Linked DNA regions of Oryctolagus cuniculus. The protein of the gene in region 1 interacts with the protein of each later gene in a pairwise test. Links are inferred from orthologs where the notes say so. Each region holds a gene or a part of one and is shown in the gene's direction. Other genes may lie near its edges.

Evidence for each region.
Region 2: the proteins of KXD1 (region 1) and TCEA2 interact in binary tests that used the Homo sapiens proteins (3 or more experiments, as listed by UniProt). The two-hybrid records come from large-scale screens. The link is inferred for Oryctolagus cuniculus from reciprocal best matches to the Homo sapiens genes KXD1 and TCEA2.
Region 3: the proteins of KXD1 (region 1) and C8H4orf46 interact in binary tests that used the Homo sapiens proteins (3 or more experiments, as listed by UniProt). The two-hybrid records come from large-scale screens. The link is inferred for Oryctolagus cuniculus from reciprocal best matches to the Homo sapiens genes KXD1 and C4orf46.

Annotation. Positions count from the first base shown.
Region 1 is NC_091447.1:65,704,444-65,710,881, forward strand, and holds the start of KXD1 (kxDL motif-containing protein 1), read left to right. Parts: upstream 1-2,905; 5' UTR 2,906-3,035; intron 3,036-4,753; 5' UTR 4,754-4,777; coding exon 4,778-4,878; intron 4,879-5,601; coding exon 5,602-5,754; intron 5,755-6,388; coding exon 6,389-6,435; intron 6,436-6,438.
Region 2 is NC_091442.1:142,380-148,824, reverse strand, and holds the start of TCEA2 (transcription elongation factor A protein 2), read left to right. Parts: upstream 1-2,605; 5' UTR 2,606-2,733; coding exon 2,734-2,805; intron 2,806-4,201; coding exon 4,202-4,264; intron 4,265-4,469; coding exon 4,470-4,575; intron 4,576-5,167; coding exon 5,168-5,258; intron 5,259-5,947; coding exon 5,948-6,078; intron 6,079-6,230; coding exon 6,231-6,287; intron 6,288-6,445. UniProt on the Homo sapiens protein: Necessary for efficient RNA polymerase II transcription elongation past template-encoded arresting sites.
Region 3 is NC_091439.1:138,685,329-138,691,673, forward strand, and holds the start of C8H4orf46 (renal cancer differentiation gene 1 protein), read left to right. Parts: upstream 1-2,760; 5' UTR 2,761-3,005; coding exon 3,006-3,155; intron 3,156-4,486; coding exon 4,487-4,642; 3' UTR 4,643-6,345. Other genes in the region: ETFDH (electron transfer flavoprotein-ubiquinone oxidoreductase, mitochondrial), read right to left, coding at 2,303-2,336.

The DNA of each region.
Region 1 (6,438 bases):
GCGGCTGGGCGCCCAGCGGCAGAGGGCTGGATCGGAAGGGGAGGAGCCAGGATTCGAACCCAGGACACATGCTTCCCAAGAACGCCTGCCCCGGTTAGTTCACCTCTGCCTGGCCCACCGCACACCTGCTGCGGGATCCCAGCCCCCACTCCCCCAGCCCTGAGGCCTGAGCACCTGCCAGGCACGAGGTCCCGGGCACCCAGGGAAGTCGCTGCGAAAGGCAGGCCATACAGAACCAGCAGGGGGCCGTGAGAAGTCACCAAGGCAGGGGCATCACACAAACCCTAGGCCAGGGGCCGGCGCTGTGGCGTAGCCAGTAAAGCTGCAGCCTGTGGTGCCGGCATCCCATGGGGCACCGGTTCGAGTCCCAGCTGCTCCACTTCGGATCCAGCTCCCTGCTAATGTTCTGGGAAAGCGGTGGCCGACAGCCCGAGTGCTTGGTCCCCTGCCAGGCACAGGCAGACCCTGGTGGAATGCTTCCTGGGCCTCACACAGAGTCCGAGGGTCAGGTCCCCCCGGGAGGGAACTGGCCGCCGTCCTGTGCTCCCCTAATCTCGAGCGTGGACTCTGCACGCCGGTCTCGCCTTTGGCTTGTACTTGGTCACTTACTTGAAAGGCAGAGAGAGGGAGAGAGAGAGAGAGAGAGAGGGAGGGAGGAAGACGGAGAGGGAGAGAGATTCAGCCCCAGACGCCCACAGTGGCTGGGGCTTAAACCAAGAGCTGGGTGCTCAGGTGAGGCTCCCGCGTGTGCTGGGCGGCCGGGGGGACCCAGTCACCCTGCATCCTCACTGCCACCCCTGGGGTCTGCGCAGGCAGGGCCGGGGCCAGGAATCAGACCCAGGAGCTCCCCGGTGGGCGTGGGCATCGTGGGCACCGGCCTTGATGCCGGCCCGTCCCTGCCTTTTACCGCCAGTATTTGATCTATTTACAGTTGATGTAATTTTGGACACATTTGGATATAAACCTTCACCACTCTGTGTTCCTGTTTCCTAAGATTTAGTTATTTGAAAGGCAGAGTGAGAGAGGGATCGATCGATCTTCCAATCACTGGTTCACTTGACAGACGGCCAGAGCTGAGCCAGGCCAAAGCCAGGAGCCAGGAGCTCCATCCGGGTCTCCCACACGGGTGCAGGGGCCCAAGGACCTGGGCCGTCCTCCACTGCTTTCCCAGGCCACAGCAGAGCTGGATGGGAAGTGGAGCAGCCGGGACTCGAACCCGTGCCTACATGGGATGCTGGCACCACGTTGGCCTTCTTTAGGGACGAATGGGGGTATCTGGTACGACTCCCGAGAGCTTCCTGTATGGCCAGGGAAACGGAGGCATGGCGTAGCTTGTTCAAGGTCGCGGCCATGGAGGGCAACGTGGGCCAGGTCCCCTCCCTGGCCAGGGTGGCCAGTGGCTGAGCCCACCCGGGGACACGCGTGGAGCAAACGCAACCAAAACAGGGCGGAGGAGGGGGCTGCGAGTGCCCTCCCATGGGTCTCTCCTGCTGGACGGGGCGGCCCTGCGCTCACCACCCTCTCCCGTAAACACACAGGACACCAGGACATTTCGTCTCCAGTCCTCGGGGCCCCCAAGTCCCTCTGTCCCTACCCGTCTGGGGCTCCCAGAAACGTGCCCCGGCCTCTGGCAGGGCCCCCTGCGGCAGCCTGCACACGGCCATGGATCGAGCAGCTTCCCCCAGCAGGGCCCCTCTCTCAGCTCTTGGCCGCCGCGGGCTCACCGAGCCCCCCCCCCCTTACAACGGTCAAGCCCACACCGTGTGGTTTCCCATCATCGTTTCTTACAGCCCCAAGTCACGTCCACTGCCTGCAAAACTCCTACTCCAACCTCAAAACCCCAGCTAGATGGGGTTTGCCTCCCCGCAACCTCCCTTGCTCCCAAAACGAGCGCTCACAACGGCTCAGGTTCCTGCGCACGGAGGGTCCTTCCTATTCTTTACAAACACAGAAGCCCCGCGAGGCTGGGGGCGTCTGCCTCTGACTCTATCTCCTTTTTCCTTCCAGGCCTAAGCAGGACCTAAGTGGTCCCTGGGGTCCCAGAACACGGGCCACACCTGGCGGGAGGGAAAGTCTTTAAAAACTGTCAAACTCCGTAAGAATCCTGGTCCCCGGGGCTTTTCAGCAGAGGCGGCAGTAACAACGTAGCCAAGACGCCCGCTGGGAGCCTGGATCCCAGATCTGAGAGCCGGGGTCTGCGACCCAGCTTCTTCCCACCGGTGCGCACGAGCCAGGAGCTCCATCCGGGTCTCCCACGCAGGTGCAGGGGCCCAGCACCTGAGCCATCCTCCGCTGCTTTCCCAGGCCATAGCAGGGAGCTGGACCGGAAGTGGAGCAGCCGGGACTCGAACCGGGGCCCATAGGGAATGCCAGCGCTGCAGGAGGCGGCTTTACCCGCTATGCCACAGCGCCGGCCCCCCAAAAATTCTAAAAATTATTTTAAAAAATCCTTGTTGGGGGGCCGCGTTGTGGCGCCCGCACCCCAGGCGGCGGCGCTGGCTTCAGTCTCTGCAGCTCGGGACCGGTCCAGCCCCGGGCTGAGGGCCTGGGGGCAGCATGCCGGGCCCTGCACCTGCGCGGGAGATCCGGATGGAGCTCCCGGCTGCGGCCTGGCCCAGTGTCCATCTGGGGAGTGACCAGCGGATGGAAAACCTCTCTCTCTCTGCCTCTGAAGTACATAAAAAAAATCTTAGGAAAAAGTTCTTAAATGCTAAGATCATTCAAAGCGACGGGAGCCTGGGAGCTCTCACGGACTGGGGGAGACTGCGGACATCAGCCCTGGACATACCTTCCGACCTAACCCCTTCCGGCGGCTCAGCCGCGCGGACTGCGCAGGCGCACGAGAGCCCGTTTGATTGGACGTGGGCTGTGACGCAGGGCGAGCGAGCCCGCCTCTTCCTGCCGAGCCCCCACCACGCACGCGCGCACGCACGTCGGCCCCAGAGTGCGCCGCCGCCGCGAGCGCCCGTGCGTGGTGACGTCGCGGCGGCGCGGACGCCATCCCGGAAGCGCGAGCGAGGCTGCCAGATGTGCAGGTGCCGCCGCCGCCTCCGGGGCTGAGCTTGGGGCGGGGCGGGGAGCGGGACGCCGGGGCGGCGGGGAGCCGGGCCGGGTCGGGCGCCGTCCCCGGGCTGCCCGGGGTGGGGCGCGCCGTGCGGGGCGCGGGCGTTGGGGCCACCAGCGTTCCGACGGTGCGGTGTGACCTGGAGTTGGGCGTTCACCTGCCGGTGCCTCAGTTTCCCCGCTTCGTGTGGGCGGAGCCTGCGGGTGTAGACCCAAGCCCCGCCCCACCCGGGCTGTCTTTACCGGGGCGCGGAGTGGGGAGTTCAGCCGACGGTGTGGGCGACCCTCGCAGGGGTGGCTGGGAATTCAGTGCGACGTTGTGCAGTTAGCTCCGCCTCTTGCAGTCACGTGGGATGCCCTCAACAGGCTGGACCCCGTGGGGAAACACCTGCTCCAAGCTCCGCCCACAATCCACCTTGCCTTCACCGCCCCCCATTCCCATTTCCTGGATGAGAAAACTGATCCCTCCCTCCCCCACTTGAAACCGGGGCCCTTGCTGCGTGAGTTCCCTTTGGGATGTGCAGCCCGGAAGGCTTCCTGAGAGAGGCAGCCAGCGACAGGCCCGGGGTTGGAGCCTCTGCCCTGATCCCCGGACAGCGCGTGGGTGGCCCTGCTCTGCAGACAGTCCTAGCGCGTGTCCAGGGGCGGCGAGCCACCTGCCGGGGTCAGGGCGCGAGCAGTCCTGGCTCCCGTGATGTTTTGGATAAAAAGAATTCCTGGCTAACAGTGGCAAATAAGGCGATTTCATGGGGAAAAAATTGTTTTTATCAGCTGTCGTAGGAAGCAGCTGTCCCCCCGCCGTGGGCGGGGCCCGTCAGACGCACGTGCACCTGGGTGCTGCCCAGGGCCGCGGCCGCTCGGACCCTGGCCTGGGCTCGGGGGCTGTGTGACCGCCGAGCGCAGTGAGCGTGTGCCACATACAGTAGGCGCTCAGTAGGTGGATGCTGTGGGCTCCGAGTCTCGGCCAGCTGTAAATGGGGCTGTCTGTCATCTCGCGCGTGGGCCTGGCGGCCAAGCTATGCCAAGGTTCCAGATTTTTCCTGACCCTCCCACCCCCGCCCGCCGCTGCTGGGCCTCGCATGGTCTGGGAGGCCCAGCCCACTGGGGTGGGGTCCTTCGTGTGCCCGTGAGAGCGGGCACTGTCCAGGACGTCTGGGTCGTGGGGCTCCCAGTGCCTGGGACTTGCTAACAACAGGCGAACCCCGTCAGAGCCGGGTCTGCAGGGGCCGGCCCAGAGACCCCGGCGGGAGGGAGAAGGCGGCGGCGGCTTCCCTCCCCAAATGGCCACAATGGTCAGGGCTGGGCCAGGAGCCAGGAGCTCCATCCGGGTCTCCCACGCAGGTGCAGGGCCTAAGCACTTGGGTCATCTTCCGCCGCTTTCCCAGGCCACAGAGAGAGCTGGATTGGAAGTGGAGCAGCCGGGACTCGAACTGGCACCCACATGGGATGCGGTTGTCACACGTGGAGCCCTAACCCCTTGCTCCACGCCGCAGACCCCGCCCCCCCGTGGGGGCGACCCGATGAGGCAGCCTTGCCGCACGTGTTCTGTGGGGGCAGCAGGTGCAGAGGCGGGGGTGGGGGCTGGGAGGCAGCAGCAGCAGCTCCGTGCAGGCGCCCGGGACCCCGGGAAGCCGTACCGATCCAGAGCGCGCCGGAGCCCCCTGCAGTCTGTGTTTCCCGCCTGCTCCAGGCCGCGGAGGAGGAGGAGGAGGACATGGACGCCCCCGACTCGGCCTCCGGGGTCTTCTGCAGCCGCGTCCTGAGCATGGTGAACGCCGAGGACGTCAACGCCATCATCCTGGCCCAGAAGAACATGTGAGCCCCGGCTGGGCGGGGCGGGGCGGGGCGGGGCGGGAGCCCACTCCGGCCGCGCTCCTGATGCAAACGCAGGGAGCTGGATCTGCCTGCTGGCTCCCCTGGCCTCCTCCCTGGCCGGGCTCCTGGGCGGGGAGGCGGGGGGACGGCGGGACCAGAGGCACAGAGCTGTGTGGCGAGCCCCCCGGGGTCTCTTGGGGAGGGCGGCGGGACATACCTGCCTCCCACAGGCGGGCTCGGAGCCTGCCACAGCCTCACCCCGATTCCAGCTGCCTTGCTGGGGAGAGGAGGACCGGTGCATCCTGGGAGTGATTTATTTTCGTTCATTTGAAAGGCAGAGTGACAGCCAGAGGGGGAGAGGAGGTCTTCCCAGGGTGGTGGAGACCCATGCACGTGGGCCATCTTCCCCTGCCTTCCCAGGCCACAGCGGAGAGCTGGATGGGAAGTGGAGCAGCTGGGACTCGACCCGGCGCCCACACGGGATGCTGGCACTGCAGGCGGCCGCTTTACCCGCCACGCCACAGCGCTGGCTGCAGACTTGACCCTGGGGAAGCTCCCAGACGGGGCGTAGACAAAACAGGACACAGACCCCCACGGCGCCACATGCCAGGGCTGGGCCAGAGCACCCTGAAGCTGCCAGGGCCCCAGGGGCAGGCAGCGCCGTCACGGGACACCCTTACTGGGGCGCTGAGGACTGAATAGGAGCCTTCTCTCTGGCGCCAGGCTGGACCGCTTCGAGAAGACCAACGAGATGCTGCTCAACTTTAACCAGCTGTCCAGCGGCCGCCTGCAGCAGATGGGCGAGCGCTTCCTGCAGCACACGCGCGCGCTGGGCGAGATGAAGCGCGACCTGGACAGCATCTTCCGCCGCATCAGGTGGGCGCCCAGCCCTGCGCCAGCATCCTGGCTTTTTTTATTTATTTATTAATTAATTGGAAAGGCAGAGTTAGAGAGAGAGAGGTCTTCCCTCCGCTGGGTCACTCCCCACATGGCCGCCATGACCAGGGCTGGGCCAGGCTGGAGCTGGGAGCCAGCAGCTCCATCCGGGTCTCCCACGCGGGTGCAGGGGCCCCAGGGCTTGGCCACTGTCCACTGCTTTCCCAGGCCACAGCGGGGAGCTGGACCGGAAGAGGAGCTCCCTGACTGCGTGTGAGCTTGGCTGCCTGGGCAGCAGGGGGCGTGGCGGGCAGCAGACCCCTTTGCCACTCTGTACACAGACGGGCACAGGCTGTCAAGGCCCCGGGGGGCCGGCGCTGTGGCCTTCAGGCGAAGCCAGGGCCCGCAACGCCGGCATCCTGGCATCCCGTCCGGGCGTAGGTTCGAGTCCCGGCTGCTGCACGTCCGATCCAGCTCCCTGCCCACGCACCTGGGGTGGCCGCGAGAGCCGGGCCCTGCCACCGGGCGAGCGGAGCCGTCGCGGCCACTGGGGGCGTTCAGGGACCGGGAGGCCCGGGAGGCCGCCGGCCCCGCCCCCGGCAGCCACGCGCTCTCCCTCCTGTCCCGCCCGCAGGACGCTGAAAGGGAAGCTGGCGCGGCAGCACCCCGAGGCCTTCAGCCGTG
Region 2 (6,445 bases), on another chromosome or scaffold:
TTCCCAGGCACATCAGCAGGGAGCTGGGTCGGAAGTGGAGCAGCCGGGACTCGAACCTGCGGCCATACGGCGGCTTAACCCGCTACACCACAGCGCCGGCCCCACACTAACACATTTCTGAAAATAGTTCCTAAGATTTGCAAGTTCTGAGTGTATCTTCACTAACTCGGCGAGGTGTGGCGTCAGGTGGGGCCGCGGGTGCAAAGTGGCTTCCGTCTGTGTGCTCCAGGAGGTCGGCCTGCTGACCAGGAGCGGTTCACGGCTCTGTCAGAAGTGAAGGAATGCTATGTTTCTTTCCCATTGGGGGCTGGTCCCTGTCCTCTAGACCCAGGCACTCTGGACCCCCACTCCCCCCACAGCTCCCAGACCTCCCCCACAGCATGGAGAAAGTGGGGGCTGGATGTGAACTGCAGGCCACCCCCATCTGTCCTGGCACCCTCTGCACCCCTAAATAGGATCCCAGCCTCCTGGCCTCTCTTCTGGGCACCAGTGTTCACCCATCCTGGCTGGCCTGAGGCCTGTCCTTCTGACTGCCGATGACAAGGGTCCCAGGGTCACACCTGTGGCGCTGATGGTGGTCGTGGTCCGTTTTTTTTTTTTTTTTTTTTTTTTTTTTAAGATTTGAAATGCAGAATTTGGAATTTGGGAGAGAAAGAGGGAGAGGGAGTTTTCCATCCATGGTTCACTGCCCCTGCTTCTGCCCCAGCTCTGGATGCAACCACAGAGGCAGTAGATGACGGCCCAAGGACTCAAGTCTTTGCCACCCACGAGGGAGACCCGGGTGGGGTCCTTGGATCCTGGCTTTGGCCTTGCTCTGCGCTGGCTGTTGCAGGCGTCTGTGGAGTGAACTAGTTGATGGAAAATCTCTCCCTCTTGCTCTTTCTGTCTTCCCTTCTGTTACTCTTCCTTTCAAATAAATGTGCAAAGGAATCTTTTAAAACATTACAAGCAGGATCGAAGAACCTCAGACTGGTTTCCCAGGGATTCTGCCTGCTCCACCCCTGCTAAGCCAGCCGCAGAGTTGGAGAGGGCGGCCTGACCTCCGGCCCCAGGTGGCACCTGCCCCAGGGCTGCCTGAGGCCACACACCTCCCCACACCTCAGCCAGGCCACAGTCTCTGCACAGGCCCCTCTGACAGCCCAGTGGTGCTCCTGGGAGGCCTGTCCTCGTCATCTCCCTCCCTCCCTCCCTCTGACTTATTTGAAAGACAGAGTGACAGAGATCTTCCATCTGCTGGTTCACGCCCCAAGTGCCTGCAAACACCAGGTTTGGAAGAGGCTGACGCCAGAAGCCAGGAATTCCCGGGGTGTGTCAGCAGCAGCTGCGCCAGATGCAGGGCTGGGGCATCTAGGGGCCCTCGAGTCAGCTGGAACCCACCCCTCTCCCTGAGGCCTGCCTCTCCGGGCAGCCTGCGTGGTTGGCACCACCTGGATGACAAGGGTCTGGCTTGGACGATTTCTGAAGCCATGATTTCTGGGTCCCGAGGCGGCCCCAGTACTGGCCCACAAGACCCAGCCAGCTCCTGGGTGTGGTCACTCATCAGCCGTCCAGGGTGGCTGAAGGATGTGTGGCTCCATCCTCCCTGCTGCCCTGACGTGGCTGGACGCCCACCCCCGCCCTGACTACGGGCAGGGCAGCTTCTGCTGGCCTGGGAGACTGGGGTGTGGTGTCCGCCCACCATACAACCTGGGAACAGCCACAAGGAATTCATGCTTTTCCTCGTGGTTAAGGTGAGTCCCGCACCTGCCACCTTCAGTGCCGCTGAGCGCCTAAGGCCTGGTGTGCCCAGCTGCCCCCAGCAGTCCCTGGCCCGCTCTCTGCAGCCGCCAGCACCCCATCACTAGGAGGCAGGCAGGCACCGGTCCTGGCCCCGCACCTTGGCACTCCTCAACTCTCCTGGGCCTGGGCCACCCTCTGTGTTGTGTGGTCTGGCCCCTCCTGGGGACTTCAGCTGTGGCAAAAGCCAGTCTCTCGCTTATCCGGGTCAGTGAGTCAGCTTGCCTCACCCCAACAGCAGCCCTGCCAGGCACAGGTCAGGGGTCGGGGCGTGGAGCCGCCAGGTACAGGGACAGGGGTCAGCTTCTGGCACCCCTTCCCCATCAGCCTGACCAGAGGAACCCACCCTCCTGCCGGCTGTGGGGCTCCCCAGTGTGGGCGGGCAGCTCCGGGAGCCAACCCCGGGCAGAGGCCCTAACGACCCAGGCTGGGTTCTGGGACGGCGCCGTGGTCGCACGGACCGAGGGGCAGGGTTGGCGGGGTCGGGGATGCTCGAGGACAGAGGAGGGGGAGCCGGCCGTGAAGGGACCCGGAGCGGCCTAACGGGCCCGGGCCGTTCGGGGGGCGGGGCTCCTGGGGGCGGGGCTCCAGGGGGCGCGTCCAGCCCGCCCCGCCCCGCGGCCCTCGCTCAGGGCGGTTTGCGGGGCCCGAATTCTCCGCAGGAGGTCGCCGCTCCCAGAGGACCCTTCCCAGCAGGCGGGGCCGTGAGTGCGGGGGCGGGGCCGGGGTCGGGGTCTCCACGGGGCCTGCGGCGGGGGCGAGGTCGGCACACTCGGGCGCGGGGCGGGGCCGGCGGGGGCGGGGCCGGGCGGGCGCGCGCGAACTACGCGTCCCAGGGTGCAGCGCGCGGCCGCGGGGCCGGGGGTTTGAGCCGAGGGTCGGCCCGCGGCGGCGGCGGCGGCGGAGGCGGCGGCCGGGGTCGGTCTGAGGCGGGCGCGGGGGCGCTGCCCCGAGGCGATGACGGGCAAGGAGGAGGAGATCGCGCGGATCGCCCGCAGGCTGGACAAGATGGTGACCAAGAAGAGCGCGGTGAGGGGCGCGGGCCGCTGGTACCCCCGCCCCGTCGAGACCCCGCCGAGGCCGCCGCCCCGCGTCAGGCCCGGGAGCCCCCACGGGGAAGGACGAGAGCCCCGGCAGAGACCCCTGGGACGCCGGGAGACCCCCGTGCCCGGGGCAGGGACCCCCGCCCGGGCCGCCCCGCCCTCCCCCTGCGCCCCGCAGACCCGAGGCCCGGCCCGACCCCCGGCCCAGGAGCCCCCGCCGCACGCTGGGCCCGCCCCCGGCCCTCGCCCCCACTCACGGGCTGCGGGGCCGAGTCCTCGCCCCTAGGGGCCCGGCGCCTGCGGCAAATGCCGCCGCCTCGACCGGACCCCACGGCCGGGCCGGTCCTGGAACGGCCTCACTCCCCGCAGCACCCCTGGCGACCGCCCAGCACCGCCGCGGTGGGGAGGGGGCGAGCATCCCGCGGACCGGCTCCGTGCACGGGACCTGTGCTGTCCCCGGGGCTGCGAGCTCCCGGGGCGGCCCCAGACGGCTGAGTCATGGGCTCCGGGACCGCGTGGGGGTGGGGCGGGTTCTTGTGGATGGGGTTCTCCAGGAACGGGCCCGACTGTCAGTCATCCTGGAAGCAGCACCCCCACCCCATTGTTTTCTCACCCCCCCAGGCCTGCAGCAAAGTAGGGGCGCTAGACTGGCTGGGGGAGACTAACAGGGAGGGGAGCGGCTGGGCAGGACTCGCTCCCTGGGAGGACAGGGAGGGAGGCCAGCACCTGAGAGCTGAGAGCCCCTTTTGGGGTCCGGAGACCTGGGAGAGCCAGCTTCCCCGTGTGCAGTGCCGGTGGGAACGCGGCCCTGGGAGATCCGAACTCGGCACAGCGCAGGAGCGGGGCCTGCCTGGGAGAGGGATCTGCGTGGTCACCCCCGCCCTTCTGGTCGGAGAGACACACACCGCACTGAAGGGATGGCGCCCGCAGGGAGCAGTGGGGGCGGGGGAGCTGGCCCCCCCGAGTCCCACCTTTAAGGAACAGAGGCTTGGCTGGGCACAAGGCATTGCAGGGAGGTGGGGCCCACACCCATCAGGGTCCTGGACCTGGGGAGCCTGGAGGAGCGGTGCCCGAGGGGAGATGCCCCTGTGTGTGACAGCCTGAGCCCTCCCCTACCTGGCCATGGCCCTTGGCGTCTGTGCTCCTGTGGTTTGTTCAGTGACCCCACATGGCTACGGTGAGGTTGTTGCGTGGATGCTGGACGGAAGGTCACGGGACCATAGGGACAGAGCCTGCAGAGCCACTTGGCTCCTTATCCTGGGTGCACCGGCTGGTGGGCGGAGCCCTGGTGTCTCCAGGTGGAGGCACTGAGGCATGGCCTATGGGCAGGAAGAGGTGGGATTGTCCACTGAGCTCTAGGAAGCCCCCCTTTCTCCTTCCAGGAGGGTGCCATAGACCTGCTGAGGGAACTCAAGGCCATGCCCGTCACACTGCACCTGCTCCAGGTAGGTCCTTGCCTGCCCCCGGCCTGGGGCAGCTCCTGGGAGAGCAGTGTCCAAGGGCACACTGATGGGCACAGGCCTGTTCCTGGCTCTGGCTCTCAATGAGACGTTTCGATATCCCACCCTGTCCTCGTGGGTTCTACTGGGAGATGTCAGAGTCCCCCTGGGGGCTCCCCACCACCCCCCGACCCAGGCGGCTTGTTCACAGGCCACTCGTGTGGGGATGTCGGTCAACGCCCTGAGAAAGCAGAGCTCAGACGAAGAGGTCATCGCGCTGGCCAAGTCTCTCATCAAGTCGTGGAAGAAGCTGCTGGGTGTGGGTCGGGCAGTGAGGGCTCTGTGCTTGGAGGAGGGGTGCCCAGGGGGTGCTGGCCTCCTGCTTGTCAGGCACAGTGCTGCCTGGAGCTGGAACTGGACCGGGGCCTGCCTTGGAGGTGCTGCAGGAGGCTGGGGCCCCCAGAACCTGCTGGGCCGGGCAAAGCTGAGGTGCCCAGGGCCAGGGGGGCAGGAGGTGGCCCAGGGTGGGGGCACTGGTACGAGTGGGCTGTGCCACTGGGACAGGAAAGCAGCCATGCCTCTGGGCCCTGGGAGGGGGAGCCTTCCTAGGCTGTCCTGGGCACTTACCTCTGTGAGGCAGCCACGTGACCTGTGTGGCCAATGGACACATGCGACACACATGTGGGCTGTCCCCAGTGCAGGCCTCCCAAGGCGTGGGGTTCAGGAGGAGCCTGCTCTGTGCTGGAGGGTGGACCCAAAGAGACCCCCCCTAGGCAAGAAAGGGTATTGGGGTGGTGGCCTCCTGGCTGGGGCAGGGACCGGGACCGTGGCCGAAGGCGGTGGCCAGGGCTCTGCTTTGCTGGAGTCCTCTGTCCCCTTCACTCACTGCCTCTTCTCCGGAAACTGCAGACGCTTCAGATGCCAGAGCCAGGGACCGGGGGAGGGGTGCGCCTCTGCCTGCCTCGTCCTCCAAGGCCGCCTCCGAGGCCACGGATCCCAGGTAGAGCACCTGGGGAGCAGGTGCCGCTGTGACCCTGGGCGGTGGTCAGGGGAAGCGTTGGTCAGCCCAGTCCCACCTGGCTGGGTGTGCCTTGCGGTCAGTGAGCTGCTCTGGGTCTTCCCCTGCCTGCCTACCCTGGGGCCTGTCCTGGACCTGGATGCTCACTGGCCTGCTCTGCCTGGTGTCTGTAGACGCTGGCCCTTCCTCCTGGACAGAGGCAGCCCCCGTCCTGCCTGGCCCAGGCACACACGGGCAGCCCAGAGGTGTCCTGGTGAGAGGCTGCTTGGCTCTTGATCAGAGTGGACGGTAGTGGTTGGCAGCTGGGCGTGGGTCACAAGCCGAACCCTGGGTCTGTGGCGTGTGCTCCTCCGGAAGCCCCCTGCTCCCGCTGATTTCCACAGGGCTGTGCCCGCTGGGCCGGAGGATGCAGCCTGGGCAGCGGGCGGCCCCACTTTCTCTGTCAGAGGAAGCTGGCCTTGGATGACCCCTGCCTCGTTTTCCACTCAGGCAGCTCCTGATTGCCTAGGCTGCCCTCGCCTCAGACCTAAGCAGGGTGGGTGCCCTGAGAGGATGAGCTCTGACCTGGTGGGGACCACAGGACCCGCCCCCTGTGGCCAGCTGGGCAGACCCCACAGGAACGCCAAACTGGGTGGACAGGGTGGGGTCACGGGCAGCCCATCTCTCTGCAGCCGCAAGAGGCTGGAGCTGCCCAGGACGCCATCCACCCCAAGGATGACCACGTTCCCCCCGGTGCCTGTCACCTGCGATGCTGTGCGCACCAAGTGCCGCGAGATGCTGAGCGCCGCCCTGCAGACGGACGGTGCGTGTCCAGTGAGACAGCCCCGCTGCCCCAGCCCCCGCTCAACATCAGGCAGGGGGGGCCGTCTTGGGGGTCACCAGAGTACTGGCTCCAGGCCAGGGTGCTGTGCGGGCAGAGAACCAGTCGGGGTGCTGGTGGGGTCCTTCCCGCAGGCGACCACGTGGCCATCGGTGTGGACTGTGAGCGTCTGTCAGCCCAGATTGAGGAGTATATCCTTTGTGTGCAGCTGTGGGCCAAGGGGTCTGGCAGAGGCGGGACGCTGGGCCAGGCTCCCCATGGGGGCTCCACTGTCCAGCTGCTTAGTGCCCTTTCTGGGCAGTCACTGGCTTTTGTTGTTTAAGGATTTATTTATTTTAAAGTCAGAGTT
Region 3 (6,345 bases), on another chromosome or scaffold:
CTAAAAATAGACAGCAACAGTCAAGATGAACAAACAATTTCAGACGGATCTGGCCTACATAATCTACACTTTCACGGACACACTGAACAGTTGAAGATTTTCCATTTGAATACTATATGTTCTCCTTTGTGACTTCATGCAAATAAAGAGATATTCAGATGATCCCTAGCTAAACTTGTTACAATCCTCTCAAACATTCTGGCAAGGTCTGAGACTATAATTCAAAATTATCTCTGAAGTTACGGAACCTGACACTGTGGTAAAAATCAAGTTGCCTTTTTTCTACTAACTGGAGAGATAACACGTTTTAATAAAAATCAGCCCAGCGTGGGGTAATTACTTTTATTCTTAAGCACACAACTACACAATATTTGTTGATGTTTTATTCTTCCCAATGATTTTTGAAAAAATGAAAACCTGACATCAGACTATTAATAATTAGATTATGATGACAGCAGTAAAGGAAAAGATTTGGAGTGGCTGAAATTCTAAAGTCTTTCAATGCAAATCTGTTCTTGATCATTTTAAGATTTATTTATGTGAAAGGCAGTTGAGAGAAAGACAGAGAGGGAGGGATCCCCTGTCCACTGGTTCACTCCCTAGAGGCCCTGATCTGGCAGGGCTGGGCCATGCGGGAGCCGGGACCCAGGAGCTGGGAGCCGGGAGCCGGGAGCCAGGAGCTCCAACCGGGCTTCAAAGTGGCCGGGCAGGACCAGGCACTTGGTCTCTCTTCTGCTGCTTTCCCAGGAGCATTGGTGGGGAGCTGGGTTGGAAGTGGAGCAGCCGGGACACGAATGGCACCCATGTGGTATGCCAGCCTGGCAGGTGGCAGCCTCACCTGCTGTGCCACACTGCTGGCCCCTGTTTTTGATAATCTTTAAAAAAAAAATGTGGCAAGAAAACTGATTTTCTCTACTTGTAAACACACACACTGAAAACTACAGTATCTGGAATACTTTTAAAGTCTTATCTAAGTCTTGAAAGTATGCATAAATGTGATATTTAAGTGAAGCAATTACGGAACAACTCAGTTCCAGAGTTCAAATCTGTTATCATTTAAAAGGACATTTAGTATACGATGCACTGTAGTTTGGCGTACAGAAGTTATCACTTCTGAAAATTCATAACTGGAGCAAGACAAACTACAATTCTATTATTGTATGGCTGCGGATTCTCTTGAGAATATTTGAAGCGGCATAGTCTGATCAATGCCAGATTACAAAAAAATAAATAAATAAAAACCCACAACCTTTGCTCCTTTTCTGGAGTAAGTCTGCTACCTGACTAGAGATTTGGACATTTAGGACCATGGCTGAATTCTGGTAGAGCGCTGAGGGCACAAAGTCCAATGAACTCAGAACATCACCCTATCAGTCACACCAGCAGCACATCCGTGCGCACCTCTCTGGTGCCAGTAGTTCGCGAAGAAAGCCAGGAATCAGCATCCAGAGAAAACAGTCATTTTCAACGGATTTGGTTAGCGCTGGCCCAAGACGGCGGTAAATTAGGATCCGGAGCAGACAGCGCCTGACTACCGGGATATTCCAACAAACGTAAAAGCGGGCCCTGGTGTAGTAACAAGAGGAACAGAAGCTTCGACCGAGTTCTAACCTAATACTCGGAAGCCAACTTTAGAAAATTCTACTCCTGACATTTACAAGCACGCCCTTGCATTAGCAATGTGTGCAGGTGTTTAAGCATTCCATAACCAAAACCTGCCATTCAGCAAATCAAGCCGAGCCGATTACAACAGAATTCAAAGCTCTCTTAAGTAAAAACTTCTGTTCAAGCTAAAGTTTTTTATTTTATTTATTATTATTATTTATTTTTTATTTTACGGGTCGTATCTAACGGCAGCAAGGAACACCCCCGAACTGACTTAGGCCACGCAGAGCCATTCCCAGCTCCAGGCAGAGCTGGTGACTCGGGCGGGACACGAATCGGAATCCTGGCAGAGACCCCGCCGGAGGCGGGGACGGCTAACACCCAGGGGCGCCCCAAGGGGAAAGGCGCCCACTGGTTCCAGTGCCACCCCCGGCCCGGGAGCCCGCCGAGGGCAACGTGTTGACAAGTGTCCTCCGTCCCCGACCTTTAACCCAGAGAGGAGTCCTTCCAACTGGGGCAGCCTGAGGGGAGCGCGCCGGGCCCACCAGCAGGGGCACCGCGCGCCGGGCCCACCAGCAGGTGCACCCCGCGCCGCCGCGGGCCGCGGGCGCGCGCTCCCAGCCCCCGGGCGGCCCGGCCCGCCTCGCCCGCGCTCTCCCACTTCCCTCCACCCATCCCCACGCGAGCTCCCTCTCACCCGGGCAGGAGCGCCTGGCGAGCGGCGCCAGCATGTTCGAAGGAACGGTGACACTCGCGGCCGGACACAGCGGGCGGACGAGGGCCGGCGGCTGGCCGCGGGGGCGGGACCCTAGGCCGCGGGGGGCGTCATTCCCGGCCGGAGGAACCTGCGCCTCCGCTGAAGTTCGCCTCTGGGCTCAGCCGACCGCCCTCGCTGCGCGGGGACCTACCCCTCTCTCGCTCTGCGCCGGCGCCACACGTGACGCGCGGGCCAGCACAGGCTTCCGGGTCAAGCAGCAGACCAGGAAAAGCGCGAGGACTCCAAGTCCCAGAGCGCCCCGCGCTTTCAGGCTGAAAACTCGGCCTGCGCTTCCGGCTTGTCCAGCCGTGGTGGGCGGGGCCCGCACAGCCCGGAGCGTAACGCACGCGCACTGCGGGGCAGTGGGAGGGGGCGCGAGGCGCACGGCATCCTGGGAGTTGTAGTCTTCTGCTCCCAAGCACTCCGCGCCCTGTGGGAGCTCCGCGCAGCTGCACTAAGCCGCCCAAAGGGCATTGACGGACGTTTGATTGGCTGTCCCGCAGAAGCGAACCGTCTCCGTCTTGGTGGCCCTGGGTTGACTCACAAGGCGGGCCTTCGGGAAGGAGAAGGCGGCGCCTTTGGGTGTTGGGCGCGAGCGGTTGAAAGGCGGTTGGCGTCGGTTCGGCTGCCGCGGCCCCTGCCCATGGCTGCGCCCGCGGAGCTGCGGGCTGCCTCGCCGCCCCCGCCTCCGCCCTCTTCTCCGTCGTCCTCGGACGCCTCCTCAGCCTCTGCGAGCGCCAGCGGCGGCCGCGCGGTGGATCGGCTGGAGCTGGTGGAGCTGCAGATCGGAGACGTGAGTGTCGCGGGGCCCGCAGCGAGAGCCGGGGGCGCGACCCCGGCCGCGCGCGCCCCGCACTGCGGCTCCCGATGGCCACCTGCCCGGGCCCGGCGGCGGGCTGCGGGGGCTCCTTCCGCCCGGCCTCGGGCTCCCCGGACCTCGCTGCGGCCCGTCCCGCCCGTCCCGCCGGAGCCCCGCACTGCGGCTCCCGATGGCCACCTGCCCGGGGCCGGCGGCGGGCTGCGGGGGCTCCTTCCGCCCGGCCTCGGGCTCCCCGGACCTCGCTGCGGCCCGCGCCGCCCGTCCCGCCGGAGCCCTGCACTGCGGCTCCCGATGGCCACCTGCCCAGGGCCGGCTGTCGATGCTGCGGTCGGCGCGAGGCTTGCTCGGCGCTGGACTGCTGTCCTGGGTGTCTGCTGGGAAACCTGGCCTTGCCGCGGGCCAGCACGCACGCCCCACCCTAGCACCCCGTCCTCGGGATGGATGATGCGCACCGTGTGTCCAGTGTGGACCAGGCGCCCCTGTGCGGGGTTTTATCCTAGGTGCAGAAAACCTTTGGAAACTGAGGCTAACGTCAGGGCTGGGTGTTCTCTGAATGCGCGTGTGGTTTCGGTGGTGGCTCCTCTCTGACGTCTGCTTTTCTTGTCCTGCAGGGTCAGGATTGACAGCAGGGTGGTGGCACGGTGCCTTTGAGGCTGCACCATCAGGCGTCGAGGGTGAAGTCCTTCAGATACTTAGGGCAGGTGGAGAGGAGGCGTCTCCATCGCTTTCCGGAGTTCAGGGACTCCACGGTGTTTTCAGGGAAAATAAAAATACCGCCTTGGTCATGGCGCACAGACGGTGGGGCCAGATGCCCTCAAAGCTGACCTGCAAGTCAGTAATTCTTGAGGCTCTCTACAAACAGCCGATGTTTTCGTTTGAAAACTTACTACTTTTATGTTGAAAACATTTATTTATTTACTTGAAAGGCAGAGCCAGAGAGAGAGGGAGAGGCAGGCATTGTCCGTCCCCTGGTTCCCTGCTCGGATGGCCGCAGTGGCCAGGCCGGAGCCAGGAGCCGCGCACTCGTGCGGGTCTCTCGTGCGCGTGCTGGGCCCCAGGTACCTGGGCGGCTCCCAGTGCCTTCCCGGTGCCCTGGCGGGAAGCTGGGTCAGAAGCGACACACCTGCTCTCACCGGCCCTCTGCATGGAGGCCAGCATCACCAGCTGCCGCTTAGCTCACTCCACCAGAGCGCCAGCCCGTGGAAGTGTGTAGTAGCCTGGGTACCAGATTCATGTGAAAGCCATTTTCCGACTGTGTATAAAATGACAGCTTTAAAAATAACTGCTTTTTCTTCTCATCTCAGGCAGCGTTTTCATTAAGCAAGCTTCTGGAAGCCACGTCGGCAGTGTCGGCGCAGGTGGAAGAGCTGGCCTGCAAGTGTACAGAGAACGCGCGCTTCCTGAAAACGTGGCGGCACCTCCTGAAAGAAGGCTACGAGTCTCTGAAGTCTGACGGCTGACTCGGCCTGCTTAGGTGCTGGGCTAACGGCCGGGCACCCATTCCCGGCTCCTCGTGTGTGGTATCTGCACATGTGGATACGTGTGTCCCACATGTACGGCTTGAGCTCCTTCTAGCAGGCCCTGTACACTCAGCACGGCTTCTCGTGATTGAATTCTGCTTGGTTTTCGTGACTTTCGTGAAAGCAGAATGCTGATACTATTTTTGATGCCAGCCCGTGTTTGCTTACGCTTTAGTACCTGTGTCCTCTAAATTTCATGGAATCCTGTATGCAAATGGGTTCCTGTATGCAAATGCAAATGTTAATGCTGCCACAGCGCTGCCAGGGTGGATCAGGTGAACCGTCACACGGTTTCTGAGAAGACGCCAAGAGCAGCAGTGTTAGAAGTTGAGCTGCATCTTGGGGACCACTGGCAATAAGGGACGGAGAACGCACCTTTCCTTGGCCCTCTTAGGAGAAGGCTGTGGTTCTTTGAAGACTGACGTCGCCGGTGGCAGAAGGAGCTTCAGTAGCTAAGTTCTCTAGAGCTAGCGGCTGTGTTTTACTTCTGTATCCTCAGCACCTAAAGCAGTGTCGCCCAGCGTCAGTGTTGACTATGAGCTGGCAAATGTCATTCGAGCCTGTTTTCTTCTTCCTGATTAGAATCTGTGTCTGAGATGGAGAGAGACAGGGAGGGCGCCCCCATCTCCTGGCTCACGCCCCGAATGCCTGCAGTAGCCAAAGCCGGGAGCTGGGGACTCACTGCAGGGCTCCCACGTGGGCGGCAAGGACACAGTTACTTGAGCCATCATTGCTGATGCTGAGAACCCATGTTAGCAGGGAGCTGGAGTCAGGAGCGAGAGCCAGCAGTGAAAGCAGGCACTCCCGTGCAGGGTGCAGGCACCCTGATGATGTCTTACCCACTAGACCAAACACCCGCCCCCTTGCAGGTTTTTTTTGTGTGTTTTTTTTTTTTTTTTGGACAGGCAGAGTGGACAGTGAGAGAGAGAGAAAGGTCTTCCTTTTGCTGTTGGTTCACCCTCCACTGGCCGCCGTGGCCGGCGCACCGCGCTGATCTGATGGCAGGAGCCAGGTGCTTTTCCTGGTCTCCCTTGCAGGTGCAGGGCCCAAGGACTTGGGCCATCCTCCACTGCACTCCCTGGCCACAGCAGAGGGCTGGCCTGGAAGAGGGGCAACCGGGACAGAATCCGGCGCCCCGACCGGGACTAGAACCCGGTGTGCCGGCACCGCAAGGCGGAGGATTAGCCTAGTGAGCCTGGCGCCGGCCCCCCTTGCAGTTTTGAGCACGAGGACTGTAACTGTTTCTCTAAAAACAGGCTGAACCACAGTGTCATTGACTTAAAGGGAAACATGCTCTTTTTGTGGAGATTTGTATTTTGATGATAGCTTTTAAGAATATATGAAATAATTTTGCTCTTCTGTGATGCTTTATAAAAGCCTTTAGGAAACCAAAGCCCACTTAGAAAGGGTGCGCATTTTCCTCATTTATTTCTGCGGTGAACTGCTTTCATAGTTAATATTTCTTGTACGTGATGCTTTTCTGTTTTACCACGGTCTTGAAAGTGCCTTATCCAGTGAATGGCGTTGTGCTGTTACTTTTTGAAGGGCTGTGAATGATTTCTGTAGTATTTCTGGACGGTTACTTTGTTGCCAGTGCGTCAAATGTGAATGCTGTCATTGTTTCCATATTTGACCTTAGTGAC